3 linked regions of the Oreochromis niloticus genome follow. The protein of the gene in region 3 interacts with the protein of the main gene of each other region in a biochemical or structural test. Links are inferred from orthologs where the notes say so. Each region holds a gene or a part of one and is shown on either strand. Other genes may lie near its edges.

What was found.
Region 1: the proteins of siah1 (region 3) and sncaip form a complex in vitro, tested with the Homo sapiens proteins (2 studies listed by BioGRID, with this or other methods). The link is inferred for Oreochromis niloticus from reciprocal best matches to the Homo sapiens genes SIAH1 and SNCAIP.
Region 2: the proteins of siah1 (region 3) and pou2af1 form a complex in vitro, tested with the Homo sapiens proteins (2 studies listed by BioGRID). The link is inferred for Oreochromis niloticus from reciprocal best matches to the Homo sapiens genes SIAH1 and POU2AF1.

The regions. Positions count from the first base shown.
Region 1 is NC_031977.2:31,798,776-31,809,775, forward strand, and holds the start of sncaip (synphilin-1), read left to right. Parts: upstream 1-5,785; 5' UTR 5,786-5,976; intron 5,977-11,000. UniProt on the Homo sapiens protein: Isoform 2 inhibits the ubiquitin ligase activity of SIAH1 and inhibits proteasomal degradation of target proteins. Isoform 2 inhibits autoubiquitination and proteasomal degradation of SIAH1, and thereby increases cellular levels of SIAH.
Region 2 is NC_031979.2:749,748-760,048, forward strand, and holds the start of pou2af1 (POU domain class 2-associating factor 1), read right to left. Parts: upstream 5,115-10,301; 5' UTR 4,973-5,114; coding exon 4,957-4,972; intron 1-4,956. UniProt on the Homo sapiens protein: Transcriptional coactivator that specifically associates with either POU2F1/OCT1 or POU2F2/OCT2. It boosts the POU2F1/OCT1 mediated promoter activity and to a lesser extent, that of POU2F2/OCT2. It recognizes the POU domains of POU2F1/OCT1 and POU2F2/OCT2.
Region 3 is NC_031972.2:63,381,067-63,391,514, forward strand, and holds the start of siah1 (E3 ubiquitin-protein ligase Siah1), read left to right. Parts: upstream 1-5,650; 5' UTR 5,651-5,828; intron 5,829-10,448. UniProt on the Homo sapiens protein: E3 ubiquitin-protein ligase that mediates ubiquitination and subsequent proteasomal degradation of target proteins.

The sequences.
Region 1 (11,000 bases), on a different chromosome or scaffold from region 3:
AATCTTCGAAAAATTAAAGGAAAAGATTTGGACACATCTGGTCAAAAAATCCAATAAAGGTCACATTTCTGCACATTATTCGTCTCCACCTTTATTAATTCAATTCTTGTTCAATTCTTCAAGATTCATTATTACCATTGTCAGAACAATTAATAATATTTGTTTGATATATTATCTACAATTTTATTTTCGCATTTTCTAAAGGACTTTTAAACAGTTATCAAAGCCTCTCAGCGCGGCTAATGTAAATCGACTCGGCTTGTCCAGCTCCACTCTTTCTCAGTTACATAGATACATAGCTTTGATTGTTCAAATTGCAGTTGTTGGACCTCAAAATGGTCCAAAGGAAAAGAAAAACAGCAACAACACGTCCCCCCTTCTTCAATTTCAATTTCTATGTTTCTACATGAGAAACACTGAATTAAAGCCTCTGACTATTTTGTCTCCAGCTTTGAGCAGTTTCTCTCACTCAGTCCCTTTTGCCTAAAACTCAAAGGCAAACTCTGTTCAAACCCTGACCTAGCCCAGTCATCCTAGGATTTTCCCCCCTTATTTAACTTATTATTTTGTTTATTGATAACATTATTATTATGGTAATTTCGCTGTGCTTTTCATTTTAATCATGTTGTTTATGTGGGTTTTGTCTTTTGTTCTTGTGTTTTTGGGGGGACTTGGGATCTTAATACGTTTACCTACTTTACTACCTAATGTACGTTTACTGGAAAACACTTTTTGTAAACTCTTGTTTATAAATAAAAAACGTTTGACATTATTTTCAATGCCATGAAATCTTTTAGATATTATTTCAAATTCTTTTGAAAATGTGTATTATTCTTGCCTTGCACCTTAGTGAATGTTATGACTTTAAGCAGCGTTGCTCCAACTGCCAGTTTAACATGAGTTGCGACCAAGGCCAACTTTGATAAAGCACAGAGGACTGAGACGAGGCAATGGTGGAGGTCTGGTCTTTTTTACTACGAACACTCTTCAATCACATACAATACCACAGTGCCACCTGCGGGTGGGAGGTAGTAATAACTGCTGCTTATTACAATATACCACATCCCTCCTTTCCGAGATAAAGATACAACCTCTTAACTCCAATATCTTGTAACATGAATGTACCCTTTAAACCGTAGGAACATTATCAATATTATATTCATGGAACATTAGGTCAAGCACACCTTAAATTGCCTATCATTTGAACAATGCAACTACATGCCAGTGCAAAGTTTTGAAACAGACGAACACGTGACAAATTGGATGAGACATGTCAGAATGAACATATGAAACATGACATATTTCGCTCTAATCCAACAGGACAGTTATCTGACATGTACAAAACAACTCAGGTACAGGGTAGAGCGACTTCCAGTTTCCAAATCACTTAGTCTCTATACCTGGCAGGGCGTATTATTGCTCGGCCACTGCGTGTGTAGCATGTGGGTGTATTGTCCATACTTGCAGGACGAGGGTGTTGTGGGGTGTCACTTGCTGGTGGCGCAACTGGCTCTTGGGTGTGAACAGACAGATCATCTGGGTCCATGGATGTGTCCTTAAACAGACTTGGGTGTATTTTCCTCAGATGTCTCCTGTTCCGCCTGAGCACCTCACCCTCTGGTGTTTGCACAGCGTAGGAGCGTGGTTCCTCTCGCCGATGTGCTACAACAGCTGGCTCCCAACCGCGCCGTGTTTGCATGTGCACAGTATCGCCTGAGGTCAAAACAGGCAATGGTCTTGCATGCTGATCAAAGTGGTATTTCCGCTTTGACTGCAGTCCACGCACCTTATCTGGAATGTTCTGTGGGGTTGACTGTCTCAACACAGCACTGGCGCATGGCAGTGTGCTGCGGAGAACCCGTCCCATCAACATTTGTGCAGGTGACACACTCAGTCCTGTGACTGGAGTGTTCCTCAGAGATAACAGCACTAGATGTGGATCTGTTCCAGTTCGCGCCGCTTTTTTAAGTGCATGTTTAACAGTCTTTATGGCTCGCTCCGCCATTCCATTTGAAGAAGGAAAGCCGGGACTGGAGAAAGTTAGCTTTATCTCCCAGGATGCTGCAAACGATCTCATCTCGTAGCTGGCAAATGGAACATGATCGCTCACTATCTCTTTGGGAATTCCGTGTCTTGCGAAGACTGATTTCATCTTCTGAATCACAGAGTGTGCCGTTTTGTCAGGTAAGTTAAGAACTTCTGGGTATTTGGATAAATAATCAACTAACAAAAGATATGGCTGACCGTTCAGTTCGAAGATGTCCGCTCCGATTTTCATCCATGGCAGCTCTGGAATCTGATGTGGAATAAGCGGCTCAGCCTGGTTCTGTGGCTGCATTTGCTGGCATTGTTCACACTTCTCAAGCATAGTCTCTATGTCGTGCGACATGCCCGGCCAGTACAGTACTCTTCTTGCTCTGGCTTTTGTGCGCTGTACACCTTGGTGAGCGAAATGCAACTTCTCCAGGATCACTTGTCTGAAGCTTTGGGGTATTACAATCTTGTCCCCTATCATAATAATGTCATCGTGGATACTGATGTTGTTTCTCATAGGCCAGTAGCTGTGGAGTGTTCTGTCTAAACTCTTCCTTCTGGCTGGCCATCCGTTGAGGTGCCTTTCACGCACAGCTTGTAGCACGCTATCTGCTGCAACTGCCGTTCTCAGGCTGCTCAGTGTTTTTTCACTCAACGCTGCTGTGGCCTCCAGAGCATACACAACTCTTTCTTCATTTGTGTCTTCACTCACATTCTCGTTGTCACTAGTGGTTGTGGCTCGTGAAAGTGCATCGGCTATGAACATGTCTTTGCCGGGGGTGTATGTGACGGTGAGATCATATCTCTGCAATTGCAGCAGCATTCCTTGTAACCTTGCTGGTGCCTTGCATAGCGGCTTACGCATTATCGCCTCCAGGGGTTTATGATCAGACTGCACGGTTACTGGTCTTCCATAGACATACTGGTGGAATCGTTTAGCGGCAAACACAATGGCTAGCAGCTCCTTTTCTATTTGTGCATACCTTTTTTCTGTGTCTGTGAGTGCTCGTGACGCATAGCACACAGGTTGCCCTTCTTGTAATAGGCATGCGCCCAGCCCATCTTTTGAAGAATCGGCCTGCAATGTTAAGGGTTTCTTGTGGTCATAAAATCTCAACACTGGTGCTTGTGTGAGCGTCGCCTTGAGCATCTGTAGCGCTGCTGTGTGGTGCGGCTGCCAGTGCCACGCTGTGTCCTTTTTGAGTAGCTGTCTTAAAGGTGCTGTGAGTGATGCTTCATTTTGAATGTACTGTGCCAAAAACTTCGTCATTCCCAGCAGACGCTGAAGACTTTGTTTGTCTTCCGGAGTCGGCATGTCAACAATAGCTTTGATCTTTGAAGCATCTGCTTTCTGCCCAGCTGCTGTGATGATATGGCCCATGTATTTCACCGTGTCGACTTTGAACTGAATTTTGTCCTTGTTAAACTTCACGTTAGCTGTTCTTGCTTTCTCCATGACCTTCTGCAGGATCTCATCGTGTTCGTGCTCTGATGTAGCTGCAATGATCATATCATCTGCAATGATAAATACACCAGGAATGCTGCCGAAAGTCTCGCAATTCTTTTGTTGAAAAACCTCGCTGGCGGATTTGATCCCGAATGGGAGCCGGAGGAAGCGATACCGGCCCCAAGGTGTATTAAAGGTACACAGCTTCGATGACGGCTCGTCCAGCTTGATCTGCCAGTATCCGTCTTTTTCATCCAATATGGTGAAGATGGATTTTCCTGCTAGCTTGCTTCGAACGTCCTCGTGTGTGGGAATGGAGTAGTGCTGGCGTTTAACTGCTTGGTTCAGATCACAAGGGTCCAAACACACCCTTAGTGTTCCGTTCTTCTTCTGTGTGGCGACAAGACTGTTGACCCAATCTGTGGGCTCATTGACAGGCGTTATGACATCTCTGTTCTGTAAGTCCTGTAGCGTCTGCTTCAGCGGGTCCATTATGGAGAGGGGCACGTTCCTGCATGCATGAATCACAGGTGTTGCGTTTGCGTCAGTGTGTATGTGATGGACTCCAGGGAACTCACCCAAGCCTGTGAACACATCAGCATACATCTCCACAAGCTCTTCCTTGGTAGAAGGTGGTTTGGCTGGTTTCGGTACAGCGGATGGTAAGGCAAGGGCTTCAACTCGCTTCACCAGATGCAGCTCCTCACAAGCTCGCCCACCTAGGATCGGTTTATCTGCATGGTCCGACACAAGAAAATCAAACACAGCCCTGTGCTTCCTTGCTTCACACTCAAGAGACACCACACCATCTACATGTATGCGGGCCCCACCAAAAGCTATGAGTGCCGTCTTCGTGGGCTGTAACCGAGGCATCCCTGGTAACTTGTTGTAAACTGATCTGGGGAGCACATTTGCGTCCGCGCCTGTGTCTAGCTTGAAGGTGACTGATGCGTCCCCGATTGTTACACTTTCGTGCCACCTTCCAGTTTGGTGCTTGTCACTGCACACCATACCTATGTACAGTGAGTCCCCATCAGTCTCAATGTTATTAATAGTCTTTGTTTTCTTGTAATTTCTACTTTTCTCTGCGCCCACTCTGCATACTTTTGAAAAATGGTTATTTTTCCCACACCTGTGGCATGTTGCCCCATAAGCTGGACACTGTCGGGGCGCGTGTTTGTTGCCGCATTTGTAACAAGCCGTTTGCTTGTCGTTGCTCGGTTTGTTTTTACTGTGTCCTGATTTAATGTATCCTGGCGTTTTCCTTAATGCATGTACTGACGTGTCTTGGGGTGCAGTTGTTGACTGCATAGCCTGAATCTGTGACTTGGCCACCTCTGCTGATCTGCATATTTCTATCGTCTTGCGCAGTGTGAGGTCGTTGTCACGAAGTAGTCTCTCTTTTAGTCTGGTATCATTTATGCTGAACACCAACTTGTCCCTGATCATGTCATCTTCATTGACCCCAAACTCGCAACTTTTACTTTTCTGACGGAGTTCTGTGACATATCTGTCCACTGTTACACCTGCTGACATTGGGTATGACCAGAATGTATGGCGCTCAAAAACAACGTTCTTTTGTGGACTACAGTATTCCTTAAACGCTTTCAGAATGTCCTCCATAGCTAGCGCGTCTCCGGCCGGGGTTACAGTGAGTGTGTTATACACTTCAAGTGCCTCCTCGCCGATAGTGTGGAGAAGAATGGCTGTTTTAACCTTTTCATCTTTCTCCAGCGCACCCGTAGCAGTCATATACAGTCTGAATCTTTGTTCCCACCTGCGCCAGGTCTCAGATAAATTGCCGGTGAGCAGTAGCGGCGATGGTGGCTTGAATTGCTCCATGCCGTTAGCACCGTCCACCGTTAGCTAATCCACAGCTAGCTTACTCACGTCGCGGTCGGTCCCTGCTCACACGGTCCTGCCAACTTCTGACACCATGTTATGACTTTAAGCAGCGTTGCTCCAACTGCCAGTTTAACATGAGTTGCGACCAAGGCCAACTTTGATAAAGCACAGAGGACTGAGACGAGGCAATGGTGGAGGTCTGGTCTTTTTTACTACGAACACTCTTCAATCACATACAATACCACAGTGCCACCTGCGGGTGGGAGGTAGTAATAACTGCTGCTTATTACAATATACCACAGTGAATAAGCTACCCCGCTGCACAACAGTACGAGTAAAAGAAAACACAAACACGATTTATTTATTTATTTATTTATTTTTGCTTTATTTAGCCTGAAAATCCAAAAGAAAGTGAAGTTTTTCTTTTCTCCACACTACGTGGTCCTGGGAAATTTCCTCAGAGTGAGCGCTCATCCTGTTTCCGGCGCTTTGTGCTGCCCATATGTCAAAGTCTTTGTGCTTTTCAAGACAGAGAGGCGACAGAAGGGAAAAAAACAGCTGGATCCAACGACCATCCAGCTAGCGTTACCACTAGCAGCAACCAGCTCCTCAAGCCTGCTAACCCCCCTCGGCTGCCTGACTTCCAAAAGGTACCGTGTCTGAAAACTGTCCGTTAACCGAGAGCTAACGGCTCCTTATTCCGACCGCCTTATCTTTTACCTGAGCTTTCTCTTTGACCCAATTTTCCAACTGCCAGCCTGGCTAGCCTGTTAGCTTCCACATTAGCTTCTTTAGATGCTGATTAGCTAGCTAGCTTAGCTGATTAGCCTCCTGCTGCTTGAGCAGGTATCAGAGGATTAAACAAGCTGTCAGCAAGAATCATAGGAGCACACTCGCCTCCCATCCTTTGTTGTCATCTATAAAGCAGAAAGCATAGGGCTCTGTTGGCGTCTTTAAGTCTGCTTCATACTAACTGTCCTTTTAAATACATTTTACTTTTATCTGCTTTTAAAGTGTTACCATACTACATGTACTTTTTTCATTTAAAGTATGCAAGTAGTGCTTTCTGATTGGATTAATTGTTGTCTAGTGCGAAGTATTCCTTTTGGGTATAGAAGAAAATGAAGCAGGAATCACATAAACACTGATCTCAGATGTTAATTTGACTTTTGTCTCATTTTTGTCTTTGCAACATAAATTCTATAATGATACTCAACAAAACAAAAACCTCACGGTAGTGATGTTTCGCTAATTACATGCACATCTTGAGTTAATCTGTATTTCAAATGAATCTTTCTCGATATTTGCATATTTTAAAGCTTTTGTGTTTAATTGCAACCAGCTGATTTCATTGATCTGATTACGTATTTAATGCTGTTTCTGTACAACGTGAAATACAGCTGCTGAGCAGAAGTCTTGGTTTGTTACACTTAAAGTGTGAAGACAATCTTCTTTTCTGAGGTGTTGAAATCTGCAGATTTTTGATAGATTTACTCAGTTTTTACTGGAAAAAATAGCTGTTATCTATCAGACTGCTTCCAGCTAATATTAAGGCCAGAATAGGTAAAGTAACCACCTGTCAAATCAAACATACGAGGCTACTTGTCGTGGAAACCTCTTGTGAATAAGTGAGCACTTGAAAGTAGCATTTATTTCTCTGGTGCAAACACTGGTTGAGGAGCTGAATGGCTCCTGTAACCAGAAAGTCCCACAGCAGTCCCAGCGGAGCACTGGTTAAACACCAAAGTGTTCCTAGCTTGACGAAATGTGCGTTTTGAGGGTGAGCTGGTACGGAGAGATAACTCCCTTTACTGTAGGAGGTTTTCTGAGAGGCATCCTGGTCACATGTCCAAACCATTTCAACTGGCTCCTTCCACAGACTCTAGGTCAGACTCTAAATGGCTTGTTTAAGCAGCTTGTTTGAGTGAGAGAAGATGAACTGGATGCCCTGATAAAGATAAATAATGAACCATGAATGATGCCCAGTCCAAGAATAAAAATAGGGTGCTGATATTAGCTGTTCCTCCTTAATTGGGTAATCTATCATCTATTTTTTATTTTCTACTGCTCATCGTCTCCCCAGGTAGCATCCATTTAGTCAGCTGTGTCATGGGACTTATTGTTATATGCTGTGGCTATCATTGCACTTTCTTTTGTCAGTGTGGGTTTTCGACTGCATGGACTTACTTTGGATATTATGATTGTAATCCAGGTTTTGAATGTCGTTCTGTATGCTGTCATTTAAATTTAACTTGGTGAGCTCTGAAGAAACTCCGTGTCTCGATTCTGTCTGATTTACAGCTTTATCTTGCAACCTGTGTTTGGCAGGGCTCAGCTGACAGCGGCGCTTGAACCCAACAACCTCACGATGAGTTCAGGGTTTTAGAGGTGCTGTGTGCATTCCCCGCTCCCAGTGGTCGTTAGATCACTGCTTCCATTTCTATTTTTACACTAGTTCAACAAACAAGTCAGAACATGTAAATAAGGGAGACTTTGAGATGATGGAAGGTGGATTTTAGTTTCACTGATTTCCATGGGAAATGCGAAGTAGCATGCAGTAAATTTCTAATTACACTTTGAGGAAAGAATAATCTCCCATCCTTGTTTCTTGTCTTTCGTCCAAAACAACGCTTCATCTCTGATTATTTTTGTGTCTTGCTGCCTGGAAGGATTTGGACTCGTCAGCTGTTCACATAAACAGAGTGAGCAGACGTTGTCCTCCTTCCTTTTCTTTTCTTTAAAAGTTCTATGTTATTTTTGATGTCGGGTTTCGAAGCCTAAACTGTTGTTATCAAGGATATGCAGGCTCGACTCTTTCTCAAAGCTGCAATCAGAGGTTTTTTTATTTTGACCCGTTGACTCCCACGCAGTCTGAAAACAGCTCCAGTCTTACACGGACGCACCACAGTGTGTTGCTTTCTGAACATCTTGGACTTCCATGACTGGACGTTTGTTCTTCTCAAAACATAAAGAAATCTCTAAGCGTAGTCTTAATGTGTGGCCAAAGAAACAGACACATTTCTATTATTGCCTTGAAAATGACCATATGAATTTTAAATTACTTCTTGCTATATTTTTCTCTGAAAGCAATGTACAAGGAAAAAAATGTTAGTAATCAAAGATGAGAAAGTTCGGTGGTAGAGTAGGGGTTAAAGCTTCTTTAAGGCGAGGCATGGCACAGCGGCACACAGTAACTTATTATATATGTGAGAAAATTGACGATTTTTCAGTTTGGTTCTAAATGTAGATAGTTGTAAATGATCTCACATCAACAGGCACCATGATCCCGAAAGAAAGAGCCAAAGAAATGAACTGTTCCCTCAGAACATCTGGATCTTATTGTAGGTACACCACCTGATGACGTGAGAGGTCTCACAGTCTGACTCCACTGTAGCCATGGTGTTATTTTAGGTTCTTGTGATCCTCTCATGACTAATTCTTCCATCACTGATTAAGCTGCAGATTTCTTGCAAATAATGGGGATAACGGGCAATCAGTTTTTTTAATTTTCATTTTTTATTTCTAATTTGTGTGTGTAGATATTTTTTAACATCAGCACAAATTTAGTCTACAAAGAAATTTTGCCGCTTTTTTTGACAGCCACCTTTGTAACAATTTGGGAGTTATTGTAGCTGTTGTTTTGAAGCCTCTTTCTAAATGTGCATACATTTCATTGGTCTTGTGTGTATAAAATTCCACCTATAGCCAAATAAGACCGTTAAATAAACAAACACAAAAAATGTTGACTTAGTTTGAGAATGAGGTAAAGAAAAATAACTACCCGTCCCAGTTGCAAGTTATAAAGCACTGATCAAATGGCACGCTGCTTCAGATGAGAAGGATGATGGTAGAAATCTGCTGTGCTGCTTTAAATCATATTTGTCCAGTTCCAGTTTATTTATGTAAACTTGGAGGGTTTTTTTCCTGTCATACAAAAGATGGAGTCATGAGTTCTATAGGGTTTCATGTGGTGCAGAGAGCAATGCAGTTATACATGGTTACATTTCTATTACTATACAGATAATAACTGATTTTCTTTAACTATTAAGTCAGGGAGAAAATCCATTACTGAAGCTACAGGCATGTCTTGTAATTTTTGACTTCAAAACTCGAACAAAACTGAGGTCACTGTATTTGGCCCTAAAAAATTCCAAAATACTGTCTAACCTGATACTCTGGGTGGCATTATTGCGTCCTCCTGTTGTAATGTGAGTCATTTTTGACCAGCATATGTTCTTTAACTTGCATACTGAAATCACATATAGGACTGTCATCTTTCATCTGTGCAATACTGCTAAGTATTACCAGCTCCCAGCTTGGGTTTAAAAAAAAATGTATTTTTTACTTTAAAATTATGCTTAAAACTTTACTTTTTAAGAAAATCTATATAAGGTTCAGGTGAACATGAACCATGGGATATAAAGGGGAATTTGGTGACTGCTGTTGTCAGTTGATGCTGTATAAATACATTTGCATTGAACTCAATAATGAGCCAAGGAACATTTCAAGAAGTGTATTTACCTCCATCTTTACAATAACGACTGAGAGAGATACACCCACTCCCACGCAGCTGAAACTGAACCTCAACAGTATACGTGTGCCGCACAACGTGGCAACATTGACTTGCTATTGCTGTTTGGGTATTTGTGTGAAGGAGTGGGCCACTGGGTGTTCAGTGAAATCTCCTTCTTATACTGTATAATGTGTCTGTCTTTTGATGTCTCATCTTTTCTTCAGCACATCTTACTTTCAATTCTAAGAAGTATATTTTTCACTTTTTGGCAGTTTTTGGTAGTTATTTTGTAAGTGGGAAATAGGGCTGTGCGATATGACCAAAATCTCATATCCCGATATTAAGACATCTATCGTCCGATAACGATATAAATCACAAAAATGTAACATTTTCTGTAAAATATGTGAATCTCGGGCAGCTCGACTTGCGGGAAGTGTTTCCAGCTGCGCGTCATGTAGCTGGAGTCGAGTGTTTTAACCGATGCATGAAACTATACATTTTTAGACATAAGTGGTAACGGCCGCCGTTTTCTTTGTGAGTATTTATTACACAGCGTGCTGCGGGGAAAAGCCTGTTCTAACGTTTGAGTCTAAGGTTTATTTTTTAGCACCTGGCGGCTCTTGTTTTGCTTCTCATCTGTAAATAATCTGCTCTTTCACGTGATTGAGTTTATTTTGAAAAGTCTCAACAGGATCTTGAGCTTTATTGGGAAGGGTTTATGTGGAACATAAACAAGCGGACACGCGATGGTGTTACCGTCGTTGTTGCTAACCACAATGTTGTCGTGCGCTTGTCCGTCCGTAGTGTGGTTATAATAATTATAAGAGAGAGAGAGAAATTAAGAAATTAATATAGCCACTACAGTGACCATCAAAACGATAAAAAAATATTGCCGTAAACAGTTTATTTTGCGACACCACGAAACAAACGATAGCGTAAAATGAAACGATAGACGTTTTTATATCGTCATCCGATATATATCGTTATATCGAACAGCCCTAGTGGGAAACATAGAATTAAAATGGCCTCAAGTGTTATTATAAAAATATGCTAATAGAGCTTTAAAGTAATTTACTAAATACTGGAAACTAGTCTGTGTGAGGTTGGTTTCTATGAAGAGCTTTCAAAGCCAGTTTCATCTTTGATCTGATTGTTGTTATG
Region 2 (10,301 bases), on a different chromosome or scaffold from region 3:
AAAGGCATGTTCCCACAGACTGTAATGTTGATCCTGCGCCAAGACATTGTGCCATACTGAGCTTCAGGTTCTCATGTGTGCAGGTTTCTAGTTATAACATGTTGACTTGAGTCTTATCATCCCCTTCCCCACCCCAAAACTGTAGAAAAACTGCAGAAGATGAACCAGACCCAGCTGGATGTTTCTGTTATGCCTGCATATCCTCTGTTACACTGCAAACGTGGTGAGTCAGTTTACTTAGCTGGGCTTCACAACTAAGTGACTGCTGTAACTAAAAGTTCAGCTACACTTTAACAAGCAGCTCGTAGCTCAGGTACTACAAGAACAACTGAACATAAACTGCCTCCCTGTCCTCAGACCTCAGCACGCTGAGCCCCTTGTGGTGTGTGGACATCATTCAAAAATAGGTTTAGTTGGAATTAATTGGTTTCAGTTAAGAAATTCTGCAGCTTAGCAGAAATCCCCCAAATTAGTTAGACAGGCTGTATCAAGTCTTATCATTTGGGATTATTCAGCTAAGAAAGCAAATAGAGGTCAACAGATTGTGCTATGTGGAATTTGTCTCCACGCCAAGAACACGGCATAATCGGGGAGGGGGGGTACAAGCAATTCCTCCTTTACAGAAATTCCACAATCAGAAATTCCACATTTCTCTGAAAAACCATCCAGTCTGCCATCACAAAAGGACACTTTGATCATGTTTGTTCCTGTTTCTTCTCCTTTTCCCACAGTGAGAACACAGATAGAGGGAAACCTTTTTCTCTTGTCAGAATTTCCCTACAGTTACCGTCACATTTCTTTAACCTTGAGCCGGAGTTTTGATTCCTACCACTCATACTGACAGAGGACGGAGACCTCTGGTCCAGACATGTCTGTCCTCTACTTAACCCCTGTCACGAGGCTGAAGGTATCCTGACAGTATGCTACGCAGCTTCCTCTCTGAAGCTGATGGATTTACCTCCATAGGTCAGACCGGCCACATTTTCTTCTCAGAACAAACAGAACACTGTGACAGTCTGCCATGTACAGACACGTCTGTGATGCTTAACAATAGAAGGCACCGGGGGCACAAATGGCCACTGCACTGAGCCCAGCCCCTCTTCATTGTGTGTGTGTGTGTGCGTGTGCATTTTACAGTAATGATGGCAGATTTATTTAACAGTTTGTGCACTTGGGTCTAAACACAGTGGTTTTACTTGAGTACAAAGAAGTTGTATAATTAAAGTAACTGTGATGTACAGTCCCATTTGTGTATTACTGGATTACTGCTGTCGACGCACTGGGTGTTTGTACACTGTATATTTAATCATTGTTATTAATCTCTGTCTCTCTTCCACAGCATGTCTTTATCCTGTCTACCTTCTCTCACCCCAACCAATCACAGCAGATGGCCCCGCCCCTCCCTGAGCCTGGTTCTGCCGGAGGTTTCTTCCTGTTAAAAGGGAGTTTTTCCTTCCCACTGTCGCCAAGTGGTTACTCATAGGGGGTCATATGATTGTTGGGTTTTTCTCTGTATGTATTATTGTGCGATCTACTGTACAATATAAAGCGCCTTGAGGCGACTGTTGTTGTGATTTGGCGCCTTCTTTGGCAGATGTACCATGAAAGTGTTGCAACTGTCCACTAGTCTCTCACTAATCAGCTTGAAAAAGTCTTTTACGTAAAATTCATTCTGTGCCAAGATGCTTTAGTGTTTCTTGCAAAAATTACCCAAGAACAAGTCAGTAGAATATAAATCAGAGTTTGTTAGGTATAGAAGTCACTTTGGTAACCCTGCAATTCTGCTTTACGTACTATTCGCTGGTGAAATTGCTAATGTGCTAAACAATTCAATGTTAAAAGGTGAATTTCTAGTTAAACTCTAGTTTTTAAATAGATGGTATAATATCACCTGCAACCACTTTTCTAATTAAATCAGTGATCAAAAGGTGCTCCGTCCCCCAGCAGCAAAGCAGCCCTACACCAGCACATTTCCATCATCTACTTCATACTTGGTTGTTTTCTTCCGTTTACACCAGTTTCCTTTAAGGGGTCTTCACAGTGGTGTCCCTAGCTTCCTTTTCTGTCACACCAACCCTCTCCGTGTCCCCCTTCACTACATCCATGAACCTCCAAAGTGTTTAACCTGAGCCGTCCCTCTGATATTCTGAACTGTAATCCTGTCCATCCTGCTCACTCCCGGTGACAATCTTACAAAATCTTCAGCTCCCCTGTCTTTCTGTCCGTGCCACGGTTTCCAAACCATACATCACAGCAGGTCTTGCTGCCATGTTGTAAACCTTCCTTTTCATTCTTGCTGCTATTCCACAGTCACAAATCAGCCCTGACACTCATCTCCACCCACTCCATCCTCCCCGCTCGCTCTTCTTCACCTCTTTTGTGCACTTGCCATTACTTTAGATGGCTGAACCCAGGTATTTAGACTCATCCATCTTCACTATCTACTGCTCCCCTGTCATTCACACACATGTATTCTGTCTCGCTTGTGCTGGCTGTCATTCCTCTTCTTTCCAGAGCATATTTCCACCTCTCCAGGTCCCTTTCCACCACTCTCACGTCTCGTGTCATCAACACTCTCAAAGTTGGACCTCAAATAAAGGTCCGATCTTTATCTGGAACTTTCCACTTTTCATCCTCCTCACAGCTGTGCTCACTTCCTCTTTATCAATTCTTTGAATTTGATAATTAACTAATTGTCCTCTGTCTGCCTCTCTCATTGTCTTTATTCATCACTCTCTTTGTACATTTCCATATCTATGCTGACTCGAAGCTGCTGCACATCTTTTCTAGCTTAGTTTCTTAGCCATTCTTCATACTTGGTGCTGTTAAAAAGCTGTACCAGACAAATGTACCTGTGATTTATCTGCACGGAGCATTAAAATATCCCCCTCTCCATGTTACAGTTTTTCTTGACCTGCTTAAAGAAATCACTCAGTTTTCATCACGACTATCTCAGCAGAGCAGAGGACACCTCCCGGAAATGTGTTAACCTTTCCTTATTGGAGTGACACATTCCACACAGCCTTTTGAAAAACATTTTTCACAGATGTGATTGAAGCAGAATGTGTCACTCTGACCACGAGCGCCGCTGTTCAGGCCTGAGTTTGCTGTGATGCAGTGGTCAACTCAATCAAGAAAAACTGTAAAATGTGTCTGTTTGAGTTCACAGTTACAACCTCCGCTTTGATATTTTTATGTTAAAAAAGCTCATTAAACAGCACATTATACACATCCTAAGTGTATAATGTGCTGTTTAATTAGCTTTTTTCAACTGAAATTTACATTTTAGACAGAAACTCTAGATTTCACTCTGAGTCACTTTGCTGATCAAACTCTGCGAGAGAAGGATGTCAGTAACACAAAGTAACATCATCATTGCTTTAAGTGACACTTACTGAAAATTATGTGACCGTTAGTTATTGTATTTTCTTGGTATACAATTGGATTGAACATGTATTACTAGCCTTGTTATGCCCTCATATGGACTCTCACAGATGAATCCATCCAAGTAAAGACTGATGCGGTTTGGCCCAGACCAACTGTATCATTTGGGAATGGGGGAATTCCCCTCAGCTGATTTATTGCCAGAGGCATTCCCCAGTGGACAGTCCTGCACTGGGTTGTGCAGTTTGTTCCTTGTGTCAACAAGTTTAAAATGTATGTTTTTCACACAATTTTGTGACGTGAAACTTTTAATAGTTGGATAAAGACTGCATGACTTTCCCTTTTCTGCGCTGAACAAGGGTTAATGGCTTGTTCTCAGTTCTTGGCCTGATCTGCAGATCATGGATTGAGCAACTGCAGAATGTTGTACCAAAGCGAGGGAAGAAATGAGAAACAGATCTGTTGTTGTGGGAGGTTGGTGACTGACATTGTAACACAGCCAAGAGAAACAGAGGAGCTGTATGAACAAGAGTGAGGTGTGGTCGCTAACATGGGAGTTCTTTTCTACCTTTCGTTACATATAAGTCATTATTCAAATGGAAGAGTTTTCTACAAAGATTAACTGGTAACACAGAAAATTAAATTATGGAACATATGTATCTACATGTGTGAAAATGTGAAGCCAACACACAAAATGCTCAGTGCCAACAGAAGGAAATAAATGTTACAAGTTCAAATTAATGGCTGTATCTGTCAACTGAAGCACGGTTGAGTGGATGATGTTGTCTTTTACTACTATCTGTTGTAGACAATCACACATGAGTGCACACGGACAAACAATCACCATGGCACAGGCACACAGACTCAATCAACACAAAAGAGGAAGCTGCACAGCTGTGCGATGTTTTACTGTGCTGGGTGCCTGCTGCCATTTTGCATATCAAGATTACACACCAATGGCAACACTCAGCCAGCGTTCAAAAGGCAATCTTCCGCTTTCCGAAAGAGCTGCTTCTGACAAAGTTCACAACAGGAAAAGATCTTTCCTTCTGTTTGCACTATTCAAAATAAAAAACAATTCTGAATAGAAAAGGAAGACTTTACTTCAACTAGACAATAACGAATTAGCAGCGAATGGACAATGTTGAGTTGACGCGCTTTGATCATTTGTAAGCTAAAAATGAATTTTATTAAAGATTAACTACAAATGTGACAGACATGAAAACCATTTAGTAACACTATACTGGATAATTTACAAAAATGACAAAGGAAGTTGCTTTTTAAAAAAAATGTCTACAAATGAATTAAAACTATTCAAAAAGACACGTCGTATTTTCAGTGTAAGGAAAAAAATATCATTCAGAGCTCCTGGGATTATATCCTCCTGTCATTAGTAAAAATAACTGTAATGTACACTTCACAGACTGCTTTTTAAAACTTTTCTCATCCATAACTTTGATGAAGCACATTTAATTCTGCAAACCTCTCAAGTTGTTGCCCCTTAACATAATTATTCATTCATATATGAAGTCAGTATATACTGAGGAAACAGCAACAATATAGTGTACTTACATTTCTCCCAGTGCATGCTGCCTATCTGGTTAATATCAGATAGTTAAACTGAAGAAAATCAAAGTGGCGCGTCAACTGACGTGCTTTATAACAGCTAGAAGCAGGCTAGCAATCCCCTGGGATGTCATAGCTTCGCTAACCACAACTGCATCTGTTTCACAGTTGGTAATGTTTTAGTTGAATCATACCTGCTACAGCTATTACATCTGAAAGACAGAAACACACAGGCCCAGGTCAAAAAGAACTGAAGATGAGAGAGCAAGCGCATAAACAACATTTAAATAACCCATAACTAATTAAAATACTCTCAATGAAAGTAGTGCAACAGACTTCTTTCCCTGTTAGTCTTCTCTCAACAAGCAGACCTAATTTTGGTTAATCTGAAGATGTTATTCTGGCTGTCACTCACAGAAGCTGTCATTACACATTCAGAAAACTTTAATTAGAAAACCCAGCGATGAATGACTTTTTCAGCGTACAATGGGAGCTTTGAGATCAACTCATGGATGGATGGATGTATTATTGTAGGGTCTACCTTACAATGTAAAGCATCTTGAAGTGACTTGTTGTGATTTGGCGCTGTATAAATAAAATTGAATTGAATTGAATTGAATTGAATTGAATTGAATGGTTGGATGGATGGATGGATGGATGGATGGATGGATGCATGGATGCATGGATGGATGGACGGACGGACGGACGGACGGACGGATGGATGGATGGATGCATGGATGGATGGATGGATGGACGGACGGACGGTTGGATGGATGGATGGATGGATGGATGGACGGACGGACGGACGGACGGACGGATGGATGGACAGATGGATGGATGGATGGATGGATGCATGGATGGATGGATGGATGGATGGATGGATGCATGGATGGATGGATGGATGGACGGACGGACGGACGGTTGGATGGATGGATGGATGGATGGATGCATGGATGGATGGATGCATGGATGGATGGATGGATGGATGGATGGATGGATGCATGGATGCATGGATGGATGGATGGTTGGATGGATGGATGGTTGGATGCATGGATGGATGGATGGATGCATGGATGGATGGATGGTTGGATGGATGGATGGTTGGATGCATGGATGGATGGTTGGATGCATGGATGGATGGTTGGATGCATGGATGGATGGATCCCCAACGATGACACAAAGAGTGAACTTCAACCTTCTTTGCTTGCTAATGAAAATTGTTCCAAATGTAGCCATATGAAGCACAGTGCTACTTATTCATATGGTTGAGGCGGTTATACAGTTGCACATAGAGGCACTGTGAATGCGCCAACATGACTGTGTACAAGAATGTATGAATCTGAACACATAATGTCACTTCTACTACAGGTGCTATTTATGTGACAGTCTCTACATGTACTACATGAAGGAGTTGCTCTATAATTTGTATTGAGTTATAGAATACCGTATGTCATAGAGAATGGCATCCTATTCTAGACTGTCTTTCTTCAGCATTTCTAGCTGTGTGAGAAAATCACATTTCTCTTTTCTCACAACTTGGATACAATTTGTGAAACCTTTGACAAACTTTTTGCAGTTGTTTCCCATATTCCCAGTTTTTAGCCCCCAGTGACTTTATCTCACCCCCTTGAGCATGTGAGGTTAAATTAACCATAAGATAGTATTAGAATAACTCCTGACTCCAAAGTAAACACAGTCAAACTGATTTACATCCCAAGTAATTTTTTTTCCAAAGCAGTCCTTTTTTTTTCTTTCCAAAACATACAGGTTAAGGTCAAAGGGATAGAATTTCTTGAAACATGGGAAGATTTGATCAGGAATTGTTCACGAATGTCATCACAGTGAAAGTAAATCCTGTATTTCTAGGTTCACCAGTGCAGCGGAGCCAATGTAGCCGGATCTGTCTGGCTGCCATGAAACATCAAATAAATAGATTTGCCAGTGCTGACCTGTTTGGGCATGAGGACTGAGAGTTAGTCCAGCCTCCAGTGTAAACAGAAGACTTGGATAAGAGACAACTGGTTTTAAAAACCGTGGCCAGAACAAATGAGGCAAGCAAACATTAATGAGCTGGTTAGAAATCACACCAAGGTGTCTGCAGTGAACAAGAGGACTTGCCTGCTTGACGGGCCAGAGACGACCTTTTTTTCTCTGTTTTTTTCATCATTGTACAACAGCAGCGTACTCTTATCTGTTCGTGTCACATTATATGTGATTCAAAAGACATTCACTCTAAATGGATCCTGGCTGTATACTTTGAGGGTAGCTCTCTTATTTTTGTTTCTCAATATGCCTCAGTGTGTTCGACAGGAAGATAAGGAATAAAAATGTTCTGTAGCCACATTTAAGGTGGAACACCTTGAGTTAGTCAGACACAGCACAAGTGGATTTGGGTTGCAAAGTAGCTTGCAGATGTGGCAGCTGTGGGCAGGCTAAAGCAGATTTAATAAGATGCCCTACAAGGAATTTTGCATTTGGTGGGAAAGAGTATGACTGGCACTGAGATCAGCTGACCTACTGGGATTACAGCAAAGTTTGACTTGATAATGATAATGCTTAATTTATTTACTCTGAGTAGAAAGTAATGTTTATTGTCCTGAGCAACATATGCTGGAATGAACTGCAATGGATTTTCCCCTTGACTACACATAGTAAACCACGTGCACGTGCTGCTCATCGTGTATGTGATCACATTCTTCTTCTCTTATAACAATTTTAAAGTTACAGTAATCAGTGTTAGCCCACGCTGCTTTTTTTATATGGCAGCCTATTTGATCAGAGAACGTGCAGCCGATGAGATGGCTGCAGAGAAGCTTGCAGAGGTGGGGTTAGGGGCAAGCAAAAAAATAAGATCATCATCAGGTTATTGATATCATGAAGAGCTTAAATATTGGAAATGCCTCATAAAGTATCAAAGGTTCAGTTCTAATGACCAAAACTGAGGATTAATAGGCAAGATTAATAGAAAAGGTCATAACTCTAGACTCAGTTCTAACCCTAGTGTGATTCCTGAGGTTTGAAATTGTGAGGTCACAGAAGTTAAAAAAAAAAAACCTAATACATTTAAAGGCAGGCTACATCACTTAACAAGCAAAGTTTGATGAGTAAAATTCTGGTATCCTATGAGACTAAGAGCTAATTATTTGTGCCTGCACCCATAAATGTAGCTGCTAACAAACCCTGCTTGCATTACCTGATACTGAGGCTTCTAAATGAGGGAAAGGATTAGTGATTTCATGGTGGCCATCTTTTAAATCTAGTTTACAGTTTTGACTCAGGTACTGTTTTAGGGTTAGGCCTAGCTTGACCCTTAGTTTTAACCTATAAACCCACAGTTCCCGAATTTCACTTCAGCAAAATACAAAACTTTTAATGGTTAGCAATGGTTAGTCTGGACTTCTTTAAGTAAAGAATTCCAGACGCTTTTCTTTCCAAGCTCCTTAGACTAGGATGACCTGGATGACTGAGAACCCTCACAGACATTACACTGAGAATATTAAAAATAATTAGCAGAGTCATATTTTGTTAACAACAAGATAATGAGATGAAGACTGAAAGCAAATGACACAAAATGACATTATTACTGTATTACTCTTATTTATGTATTTGATACAGTCATGGTGAAACAGGAAGTAAAATTAGACAAATACAATAAAACATGACATGTTACAGTTTGAAATGTTAACTTTTTATGCCAGAACTGGATGTGCTACAATATGAGTCTTTACCATCAAAAGACCCAATGCTAAATGCAAAGCTAACACCCTACCTCCTGCTGCCACACTCGCCCCTCCCAGCCAGTCGATATTTGCTTTCCCTGGAAAACAGCATCGCTGCTCAAAAACAAACACCTTCAGGCTCTCGTTTCCCTGTAAACTGCAGCATTTTGCCAAGATTGTCATTTGGCTGTCTCAAAGTGACCTTGAAATCATACACACAAACAATCACGACAGCGGGAATTTGATTTCTTTATTTATTTAGTGAGCAGGATGAAATTGTTCAGCTTCCCTGTGAAAAAGCATTATGATAATGCTGCTAAAGTAGAACAGAGTGACAGTGAAGTGTATTTGTTGGACATGAACTGCGCTTCACATGTTAAAGTAAATGGATTGTTTACTTCATTTCCATACATAGTGCATGGATACCTGTTCCAGGCAGGTGTGAGTTAAATGTAGAAAACAGAAAAGAAAACCTCTGTGAGCTCAGACTGTGTTCAGAGCACAGTCGACATGCAGCAGGCAGTTATGGTGTTCACAGTCATTTCATTGTGGTTAACTTCCTCTTTTGGAGTTTAGTCACTGGTTACAGTGCAAGCATTTAAAACTGAATCAGGGTACACACTCAGAATAAACATTTATTTGTATTACATTTATATTCTGTTGTAAATATTACATATATTTTGTCACCTCCAAAGGCCACACATATTATATAGATTATATAGATTTCAACATGCTTTTCTTTGTAAAGCATCAAAATCTCTGACTGGCTTCGTGTTTTTGAGAACTCAGAACAGGAAGTATATTGGGGTATATACTTGTTCCTTGGTTATTTTCATACTTTTGCCCAACAAAAAGCTTTGAGCCTGACACAAAGCAATTTTCTTTTTAAAAATCTCTTCATCAGAAATCATTTTAATTGTAAGGCATGCTTTTTTCTATATCTATATAGTTTTTTCTTGTGTTTTTACATGGATATATCCTGTGTAGTCACTGTCAAATGCTCATTCCACAGCAGGAAACATCTGTTAATGTGGATATTTTATTTTAAAGTTTACCAAACAAGGGTCAAAATATTTCATTAGAAAAAAACACACGTTTGTATGCATACATAACAAAGAAATATTTACCCAGCCAAAATTTATTAATTCACCATCTAATGCAACTAAAGGCTAAAAACTACAGTATTTGCTTCTGAATTGAAGTAGAATACAAAGAAAAAGTACAAAAAGAAAGTATTGGATTACACTACACTATTGTGTTGCTGCAAAACGGTGTGCAGTCAGCTGCAAAAATCTGGAGGCTAAATACAGTGCTATGCATGACCCTGAAACCGGTCTGAGTTAGTCTATCTAGCAGCACAAATGGGAAACACCTGCATGTACTTCACAGTTCACTGAATAGCAACACACTGCAAAAAAAACTGTTTTTATTTTAATAGTAGTCAGTGCCATCTGCTTTGTCTGTGATAGTTCAAACTAAGAAGTGTCTATTTATGCAGTTTTATCTAATCCTGTCTTACTTTTCTGTTTCTACTCACAATCAGCGCCAATAAGAAAGAAAACTGGAAGTCGTGCATTTCAGCACCACGATGCTATTTCCACAGATGTAAACAACACATTTACATCCTACTTA
Region 3 (10,448 bases):
TGCTTAAAATGAACAGAAAAGTCAGGCCGAAACAAATCGCTCCCAAATGAAAAGTATAGGTCGTATTGACAAAATTCTTTCACCGTGAGCGGCAGCAATGTCTAGTCTACCTAATTCTCAGTTTTCATGCCTGTGGAGTTTATTATATGGACGTGGTGACAGTGTAAAAACACCATGCTCTTCTGATTTTCAAACGAACCTTCTGAGCCATTTTAACATTAGAGTCTATGGAGGAGTTGGAGGGAGGAGGCTGTGCATTGGTGACATTTATGAAAGAACCATAACACCTAGTACAATAGTAAACACATTGGATGAAAGAGGACAGCGATGGCTACGTTTTGAGGGTAAAATCATACCTGTAGAGCAAACGCTGCGGACACAGCAGCAGTTTTAAAAAATATTTTAAGATTAATTTTTTCGCTCCTCTCACTCTGGCAGTTGAGCTGTCTCACTCTAGCCCCAACATTCCGTCCCATACACACCCATTATAAACTCTGAAACGGCTGTAAAATCATCATGAAACTTAAACTGGAACTGAAGAAAAAGTATAATAGATATTGAAAAGATAAATACAAGTTGAATAGTTGAATGTCTTGTCTTCGTTTTAAAGTTTGAATGGTGGATCTATGTCAACGTATCTGGAAGTACATACAGTTTAAAGAGGAGTAAGTTGAAGGAGAATTTGAAGGGTCTCCCCATTGAAATACATGGGAAATTTTTGCTGAAAAAAGTTGAATAATTTTAAAAATATAAATGTTATAAATGAGAAAAATACAAGCACACTTGTCCAAAAGAAGAGGAATCTAATGGTGTTTGAATGGTTTTTCTAAGTTGAACGGTTTTGAAGGAGATAGATGCACAAAAACGTACGGAATATGATATAATAATAATAATAATAATAACTAGAAAGTGCATTTTCTGAAGAAACTGCAGTGTGAATGCTTGAATCTGAATGTATGCACTGAAATGAATTAATTGCTGAATTTTAAGTTAAAAAATAATAATGTTGAATGAGCTGGAAAATGCAGAGTTTTTAACCTGAAAACAAAAGTGCAGAACTTTTGAAAGCTGATGTTCACACAGAAGAAGTTGGAAAATAGCTGAAAAGTTTTTAAATTAAAATTTCGAAAACCTAAGAAATGAGAACAGAAAATTTAGAGTCAGAAAACATCTGAATGAATATTAAAAGGTCATATTCTTTGAATCACTGAATGACTAAAGTGTAATCCCTCCACTTGGATCCACACAGTTTTAAAGGTTTACATCTCTGAGCTTTGAAAGACTTGCTGTTGGAAAGAGAACAACGATGGCTTCGTTTTGAGGGTAAAATGATGGCTGTAGAGCAAACACTGTGGACACAGCAGCAGTTGAAAGACAAGTGTTTAAGATGAATCTTGGCACAGTGAGAGACAGAGCTCGTTAGGCAGGCAGGTGTGAGCCTGGTTGCTATAGTGACTGCACCCAATGGCTCAGTACACACGCACACAGACATGCACCTCACTTTTGCTGCTTAAAATGAACAGAAAAGTCAGGCCGAAACAAATCCTTCCCAAATTAAAAGTACAGGTCCTATTGACGAAATTCTTTCACCGTGAGCGGCAGCAATGTCCAGTCTACCTAATTCTCAGTTTTCATGCCTGTGGAGTTTATTATATGGACGTGGTGACAGTGTAAAGACACCATGCTCTTCTGATTTTCAAACGAACCTTCTGAGCCATTTTAACATTAGAGTCTATGGAGGAGTTGGAGGGAGGAGGCTGTGCTTTGGTGACATTTATGAAAGAACCATAACACCTAGTACAATAGTAAACACATTGGATGAAAGAGGACAGCGATGGCTACGTTTTGAGGGTAAAATCAGACCTGTAGAGCAAACGCTGCGGACACAGCAGCAGTTTTAAAAAAGATTTTAGGATTAATTTTTTTGCTCCTCTCACTCTGGCAGTTGAGCTGTCTCACTCTAGCCCCAACATTCCGTCCCATACACACCCATTATAAACTCTGAAACGGGTGAAAAAACATCATGAAACTTAAACTGGAACTGAAGATAAAGTATAATAGATATTGAAAAGATGAATAGAAGTTGAATAGTTGAATGTCTTGGCTTCGTTTTAAAGTTTGAATGGTGGTCCTATGTCAACGTATGTGGAAGTAGATACAGTTTAAAGAGGAGTGAGTTGAAGAAGAATTTGAAGGGTCTCCCCATTGAAATACATGGGAAATTTTTGTTGAAAAAAGTTAAATAATTTTAAAAATATAAATGTTAAAAATGAGAAAAGTAGAAGCAGTCATGTCCTAAAGAAGAGGAATCTAACGGTGTTTGAATGGTTTTTCTAAGTTGAACGGTTTTGAAGGAGATACAGTACAAAAAACGTACGGAATCTATAATAAAATAGAATAAAGATTAGAAGAACAATACTGTGAATGCTTTTACAAGCATTCACACTAATAAAGATTACAACAACAATACTGTGAATGCTTTTACAAGCATTCACACTAATAAAGATTACAACAACAATACTGTGAATGCTTTTACAAGCATTCACACTAATAAAGATTACAACAACAATACTGTGAATGCTTTTACAAGCATTCACACTAATAATGACATTAATCCACTGTAAAGCTATTTGCTAGCCACCAGATTCATGACTGCAGCGGCTGGTGAACTGTTGACATGAAATTCGTGATGTTCAGTGATATGACACTGAATTTCTTAAAGCTTCTTGGCTTAAGACAACTTGTATGCACTTTCACTGTGTCACAGTTCACTTATCAATACACATGCAACATCCATTTCTTATGATACATTTTGAACTTTTGCAAATCCACAAAGTTTAACCAGCACATGGGTTGGGATGGTGAGGGGCTGCAGAGGTGTGTGCCTGACATGGCCAAATTAAGTCTATCCTCTTGTAAAGACATCATACAGAGCTGAGAGTAAAAAAAAAAAAACTACCTGAAATTGAGTTTCGAGCAGTTTGAAGTCTGACTTTTTTAGCTCATGAGGATTTTTTATAACTTATACTTAAGTTTAATATTAGTAAACATGACTGTCTACATGAAACATTTCACAAATCACAATTAAAGAAAACTGAAGAAAAATAAAAAATAAAAGGGAATTAATTTCACACAAATTTGTTTTACATTAACCTTTGACATTCAGCTAACTTTTGCCTGCTGTTAGCTCGACATTTTACACTCATTTACACTATGATCCATATCTATGCCCAATTTTGTATCACCGCTCAACCTAACATGTATGCCTATGGATTGTGGGAGGAAACCCGAGTCCTTTCACAGGGAGTACATGCAAACTCCAACACAGGAAGGCCCCACCTGGCTGGCAGATTAAATCCTATAATGCCCTTGCTGTGAAGCAACATCACCTCTAACCACCACCCCTTCACGTTTACCATACAGACATAAGAGTGGTATTAATCTTCTTATCCAAGTCCTGCCAAGCCAGTAAATACGTGTATTTCTCCCAGATGTCCTTTCAGTGGTTTAACTAGACAAGCAGGCATGGAAGGTATATTGTAAACAATTAAATCTTCAGACAAACATAAGAGAGAAAGTTCTTGCACCACAGGTGGCATGAGAGTAGCAGCAGCATCAAAGAGACAATGCTTCAAACACCATCCGTGCTTCCAGTCTATGCAATGTATTTGCACTTTCTAGTTCGCTCATTCCAGTCAGTCAACATGAGCTGGAATTTAGAGGATGGGAGTTTAACTCCAGCCCGGTCAAGGTTTTCCACTTGACTGGGCTTCCACTCAGCAGCAAACAAGTTTTCGGAGAGGATCTTGGCCAATGCACAGCTACTAGCTTGCTTTGATTTCAGCATAACAATCTACTGCCAAACAGCATTATGTCTGGAATGTGCTGATGATTCTGCCAGCTCTCACTCACCCATTTCCTCTCCCTCGTTTCTTTTAACACTCCCCCCTTTCCCACATACCCCTCCCTTCCCATCCTCTGTCTCCATACTCTTCTCCCATTTGCATTACATTCATTATCCTTGTCTCACAACTTCCTTCCTCCCTTTCTCTCAAACTCTATTTTCTGCCTCCCCTCTCCTCTTCAAACTATCTCTTCCTTCCACATTTCTTTTCAGAGTCTTCCCTCCAATCTTTTCTCATTCTCACTTTGCTAAAGAAAAAAAACTGTGCATGTCGTTATGTCCGACCAAGAAATTCAAATTCCTCTAGCATACCAGCACAGCTTAACATTCTCATTGGTTTGGATCGCCCCACTTCCTCTTGTCTTCCTCCCCAGCCCCTCTCCCACATTCTCCTTGGTGCTCTCTCTGTAGTTTCATTCCTTTTTATTTGCTTGCTCTATTCCTCAAATTAATATAAAGAAGTGGGCTTAATGAGTGTCTCCAATGCATTCACAATTGGTAGATCGTTTTTTTCCTAGCTAAATGATGAAAAAAGGGACATCCTCATAATTGACCAAATTCAGACATTTGACATCCCACTGTCTTTTATTGTCTCTTTATAAAAATGTCATACCCTCTTTATATTTCTCCAGTACTCCGTATTTTCTCTTGAGTTCTGTTTCTACAGTAACTGAGAACTGAGCAGAGATACTCTTTTGTGGTTTTTGTTTAGAGAAGAAGTGTGCATGTGATGTATATGTGTCCAAAGTAAGGTGTCATATTTAAATGCATGTGTGATACCGTAAATGTGAGAAGTTGTGTCTGCTGTGCATGCAATGATGGTGTACTTCATATATTTACAAAGAAAATGTGTTGCACGCTGCCCGGTTACAGTAGAAGGCTTACAGCCACTGTTCACAGGAGGACAGCAGGATTATTTACAAAAGTCTGCTCTTTCTCTTACTTTTCTTGCTGTCTGAGTGTCTCTCAGCCTTCTGTTTGCTCCTGCTGCAGCTTGCCTACTGGGACAACGCACTTACATAACCAATCATTCTCTGTAATCCCAGTCTGTGCAGCAGCTCCTCCCACCCCCACCTCACACTACTATTTAGCTCCCCCTCCTACCCCTCATCCCTCCTGATGGTAGGTGGCTGTGTGTGTGTGTGTGTGTGGGGGGGGTGGGGGGGCATGGTGATGGCTTTCCTTATGTCCAGATTGCTATGAAAGAAACAACATGACCTCTAAATCTTAATCCCAGCCAGTTACATGTGTCCAGCATCAATACTGACCTCAATCTCTGCTATACCTGTCCAAAGTCTCTTTTTAAAACCCGTTGTTATTTTTTTTTTTCATTAAAACTGCTGATTTAAATGTCCAATTTCTAAGGATTTATCTGTGGGACTTGTTGGTTTAAGCATATGTGCAGTTTCCTTCACTTACATTATAGCGGAGAGGCAAGAGATCAAATTCAGTACAGATACAAGATGCAGGCGAATAGTATAATGAAGTGAAACTAAGATGAGAACCTGCTAGACGAGCCTTGATTTTAAGGAGTACAAGTGTGAGCATGCGTTGATACTCGTTGTGAACGGTGAGAATATTTTCATTTTACAGTGTGAAATAGCTTTAAAAGATATGAAGTAAATTGTGTGGGATGCATTCATATATGCGTATATTTATTTTCGTATTATTGTTTTTATTATAAAATTGAACCATTTAGAGCAACCTGCAATTCGTGCAAGGCGCGCTCCCGTGGCAAACTTAACTGTGCGCGCTCTGGAGCGGCTGGTACTTAACGCCTGCCGTCTCGTCTCTGTTCCAGGAGCTGTGCCAATGTGTACATCGAGCAAACGAGAGAACGACGACAGAGAGGGATCCTGTGTCTGTCCTGGTGCCACACATTCACCTGTTTCTCCGTGGTGAACTGAAGGACAGTTCTTTCGAGGTAAGCGGGTGTGCCGCAGAGAGTGAAACATCAGATTTTCGAGTGGCGTGTGTGTCGGTGAAAACAACAGCCCCGTTGTAGCAGACGCTAGCTTCCTTCGTTAGCGCAGTGCTAATAATGCTGGCGGGTAGCTAGCCTACTGTCCGGCTTGTTTGCTGATCTTTTAAACGCCTCTTGCCTGCAGTGGTTAACGGGTTGACATGCGTAGCGACTAAACGTTGTTGTTAACGTTTACTAACTGGTGTGAGTGGGGAAAAATGGAAGGGTACCGCTTCTTAGCATGTTCACACACCAGCTAAGCTAACAAACTCACCGACTAAGCTAGCTAGTAAGCTGTGGGATACTGCTTTACGGCAAGACGAGGCCTGTGTGCCTCGTCTTGCACACAGGAAACTGTTTGCTAGGATACGCCGTTGTCTGCCTTGCAAAGACAAGGCCATTTTGCTTTCAAAGTAGGTTAGACCAGGTCAACAGAAACTCGTCGTGGCATTGTTTTGTGTAGCACTGTTGCTGGCATAACGGCTGTAGAGGAAGTGATGACTAATGTTTACTCCAAGTAAAGGTTACAGTCGGAGTCGGCGTGTTTGACTTGTCTATTATAAGACTAATGTCAGCTCCTGGTCGTTATTGATTATTAAAGGGCTCTAATCGCCGTTGTTACATGTTCACTGCAGTTTGCATTCAACGAGCAGTTGTTGAGCGGATCACGTAGTCCTTGACGTGGACACCTGTAGATGAGTTATGAATTAGGCTGGGGACAGATGCACAGTGGTATTACAATATGACCTTTCGCTGAAGTTGTATTAAAAAAGCAAACCTCCATATTGATCACAGTTGTTACCCTACTTTACAATACCTCTGCTCAGGCTGGATGGATCTAAGCCGAGGTCAATAAAATAATAAAGCCATACCACTGTTTATGTAGCACTTTGCATACAGACTCGGAGTCCATAGCTCCTCACAGAGTAAGACGAAATAAAACGAAAATAAATTTACAAATTAAATGAACCTAGACAAAGGGATGCACAAGTTGTAAAACTCTGGGATTGTATTACAAAAAAAACAATGTGGCTGTTTAATTCTTTCAGCTTTTGACAAATTAAATACTCTCTAAACACAGACCTCCAGCCTCCGAAGTGCTGGACTTGTGTGTCATGCTTGAAACAGTATTTGAGATTTTACAGTAAGATTACACGGCAGATGTCAGTCTGGTCAGGTGTAGGGTCTCATTATCTTGAGATGCAAATTATTGGAAGTACATGATCTGCCCTGCAGTCGGAAAAATATGGTCTTTTCAGCATGTTATAAACATGAGAGATGCAGGTGTTGATTGGGAGGTGGGAGTCTGTTCCATTGCCTGTTAGTATTTGGAATTGCAATACAGGTTTTAATAATTGCAAATTGTATTTAAATATCTTCTTTTAGGATGTGGTTGATTTTAGTTCACTATAATTAATCTCCCCTCTCCTTGAAAACCAGTTATTGGGCTGCATTTAGAGGTTAGGTTAGGTACAAGTTCTGCATTGTACCTTAAAAACACTTTTTTACACACTGAAATTTTGCTTATTTTGCTGCAGACCACAAAATCAGAGTGAACCTTTTTCTTTCAGAGACCTTACACACCCATATGTATGCACTCAGCTGTTTTAACTGGTTGATAAAGTTTGTCCAGCTATAACGTGTCTTTAGTCAGTCTAACTGCATTTGGGAGGGAAAAGAAATACAGCATGTACACATGTATGTACGATCAGTCTTGGTTTCTGCTGATTGCCACAGCTAAGTGTTGGTTGTATGTAATGCAGCAGTAGAGATGAACTTGTTTTGACCCAATGGTTTTCCATAGCTTTCAGAGAGGCTTAGTCACTTGGTAGTGTAGCCCCAGGGTGGTTTTTATATGTGGATGAAAGCTGACAGATGCCAAGATGAAAGGATTTATGTCACTGATAGAAAGACTCATCCTTGTGAAATCCTAAAGCTCATTAAAATGCAAGAAAATAAAAGCTTGCTTTTTCATCTTTCATTTTACAGACTGTATTTAAGAGGTTACATCTGGAATGGGTTTGTTTATTCTGACCAATGTAAAATATTGTTAAATATTTCTTTTATCAAATCTCTAATGCAGTATTTGCTCTCAGTGGAATAGCACTTGGAGTTAAAGGCAGGAAATGTCTGAACCATCTGACCACTATGCAGCAACCAGCCATTGTTAAAACGGTGACAGAAGTGGATGTGTGGCCAATCCCTCCTGCCTTGCATGCACACGCGCTTGTTAAGGAAAAAGACTACAAACTCTATGGGATTTTTTTTTTTTTTTTGTTTTTGTTTTTTGATGACCAAGGAAACAACCTGCAGCTTATTGTGTTAGCTTACCCGGCGAGGGTTCTGCTTGTTGGCTCAGAAAATTCTCAGATGCTGGTGCTTTGTTTTACTGTACTCATCATCTTAGACACGACAGTGCCAGGTTTCCACCACAATACGTTTGGTAATCAAACATGATGATGACTGTCGTTGTGTGTAACCCTCAGCTTCAGCTCGACATAAGAAGGAATTTCCTTTTTAATTCTGCCAGTTGTCTTTAGGGACAGTCTTTTGTATTTGACTTCTGAACTGAGGATAACGTAACCACGTATGTGTGCTCACGGGCAATGTTGTAGGGGCACATACTGCTTGTTCTGATGGTTAAACATATCTTCACTGTGAATTCTAGTTTCCCACAGACTTTCCTCAGGTAACCCTCCCAGGTATGTTTGCCAGCACATTCCTGCACTCAGTATACTTGAAAGGTCAATTGCTGCTGACTGCCTTACCTCAGTACTTTTACTTGCAGTGTTTCCCAAATGACATAAGTATGTGCAGACCTCATTTTGCTTTCATGCTGTTGTCAGGCTGTATTATGTTATGATGCTTCCTGTGCTTGGGAAGACTGTCCCTGGTTTCCCGTGGTGTTGTCTTTCTGGGAAACACTGGTTTGTTTCATCACTGTGCTTGAATCTTAAAAAGGTGGTGTGCATTTGATGTGCCTCTTCTCTTTCCAGCAGTAGACCCTTTTGCTGTTAGTTCTTGGCCAGTTGGTTTAATTAGCATCACATTCCACCCATTACCTTGAAAGCTTAGCTGGCTCGTCTTGTATTTGAAATTCAAAATTCATTTGGTCCATCTGAGCTGCCTGTCTACTTCTGTTGCTGCTCCTGCTGTCACCTGACTACCTGTGTGCTTGTGCATGCATGTGTGGTGTCATATGACACAAGAGACTGGAAATTTATTTAAAAAAAATATCTTTATCTTTGCCAGTCTTACAGCAAGGGTGGACCTGAGATGTATACCAAGTTGTCCTTTTGACTAATTACATGTGGAGTTTCACAATAACTGTGATTTTTATGTTGAGGTGTGTGAAGGCAACTCTGAATCTCTCTTTAGATTTTTGCATCTCTTACTGTGCCGGCACAACTTTAGCAGCCGGTGTTGAAAAAAATGACAAGAGTGACAGCTGTTCTTGTCCAACCTAATACTGGCGGTGTGTGAATGTGAGAAAGACAGCAGTGAGTCATCGGCTCACTAACAGTGAGGTAATTCTAGATCTGCTACTAATGCCAAAGGGAGTCCCTGCTTGTTTTATCTCTGTGTATATTTCTATACTAGATGCTAACACACAAGATGGGTAAGTGTGTCTGTGTGGTTGGTTTTTCCTCTGCCTTGATATCCCTGTTCTGTGTGGCTTCTCCATGGTAACAAGCTGCTAGGCTGCATTGTTCCTAAGTTGTTTTTCCTGCCATGGAAAAGGGCCAACTGTTGACTGGGTCTGGATTTTGAAATCAGTCTATTCCATTCCTGTAGCACTGTGAAATCAAACCGTAGTTGATTGGATACTACTACTACTACTACTACTACTACTACTACTACTACTACTACTACTACTACTACTAATAATAATAATAATAGTTATTGTTATTATTGTTATGAAGAAGCCGCCTGTGGCAGTCAGACTGTACACTGGCAGAAGTGAGGTGTAATAGCAATCCGATGGGTCATGTCAAATTTTTCAGCAGCCTGAATGTGTTAGCATTAAGTGAGATTATTAAGAATGCACAGTGACAGCCTGCTGTTAGTTCACCTATGCAAGAGAGCATCTTGGAACAATTGCACACACAATCAACCAAGTTATGTGAACATTGCTTAAAGGCTAAAAGGAACCATTAGCCAACTGCCTGCTTTGCGTGTTCATCAGTGCAATCATTTTTGTCTGAGGTTTTTTTTTTTTTTTTTTTTTTTTTTTTTTTTTTTCTCTGTTCACAAACTCAGTTTCAGATTGTTTTGTAGGCAGAAATGATGCTGGTGCAGTTTGCTACTCAGATGTGTAAAGGTTTTAAAACTGGGACTGAATGTCCACAAATGGTCCCCCCAGGTTCTTTCAGTGTCGTGATCTCACAGATTTTGCACTTGTCATAGATGAAAGTAGTGTATGCAGAAACGGTTTTTAAAGTTATAACTTGAAGTAGTAGCCATGTTATCCCTGACAATACATTGCTAACTACTACAGACATCCTTTGATAGTTTGCGAGGACGCAAAATGTGTATTAGTGATTAATATTGTTCCCCAAGACCCAGATGGAAGTAAGACTA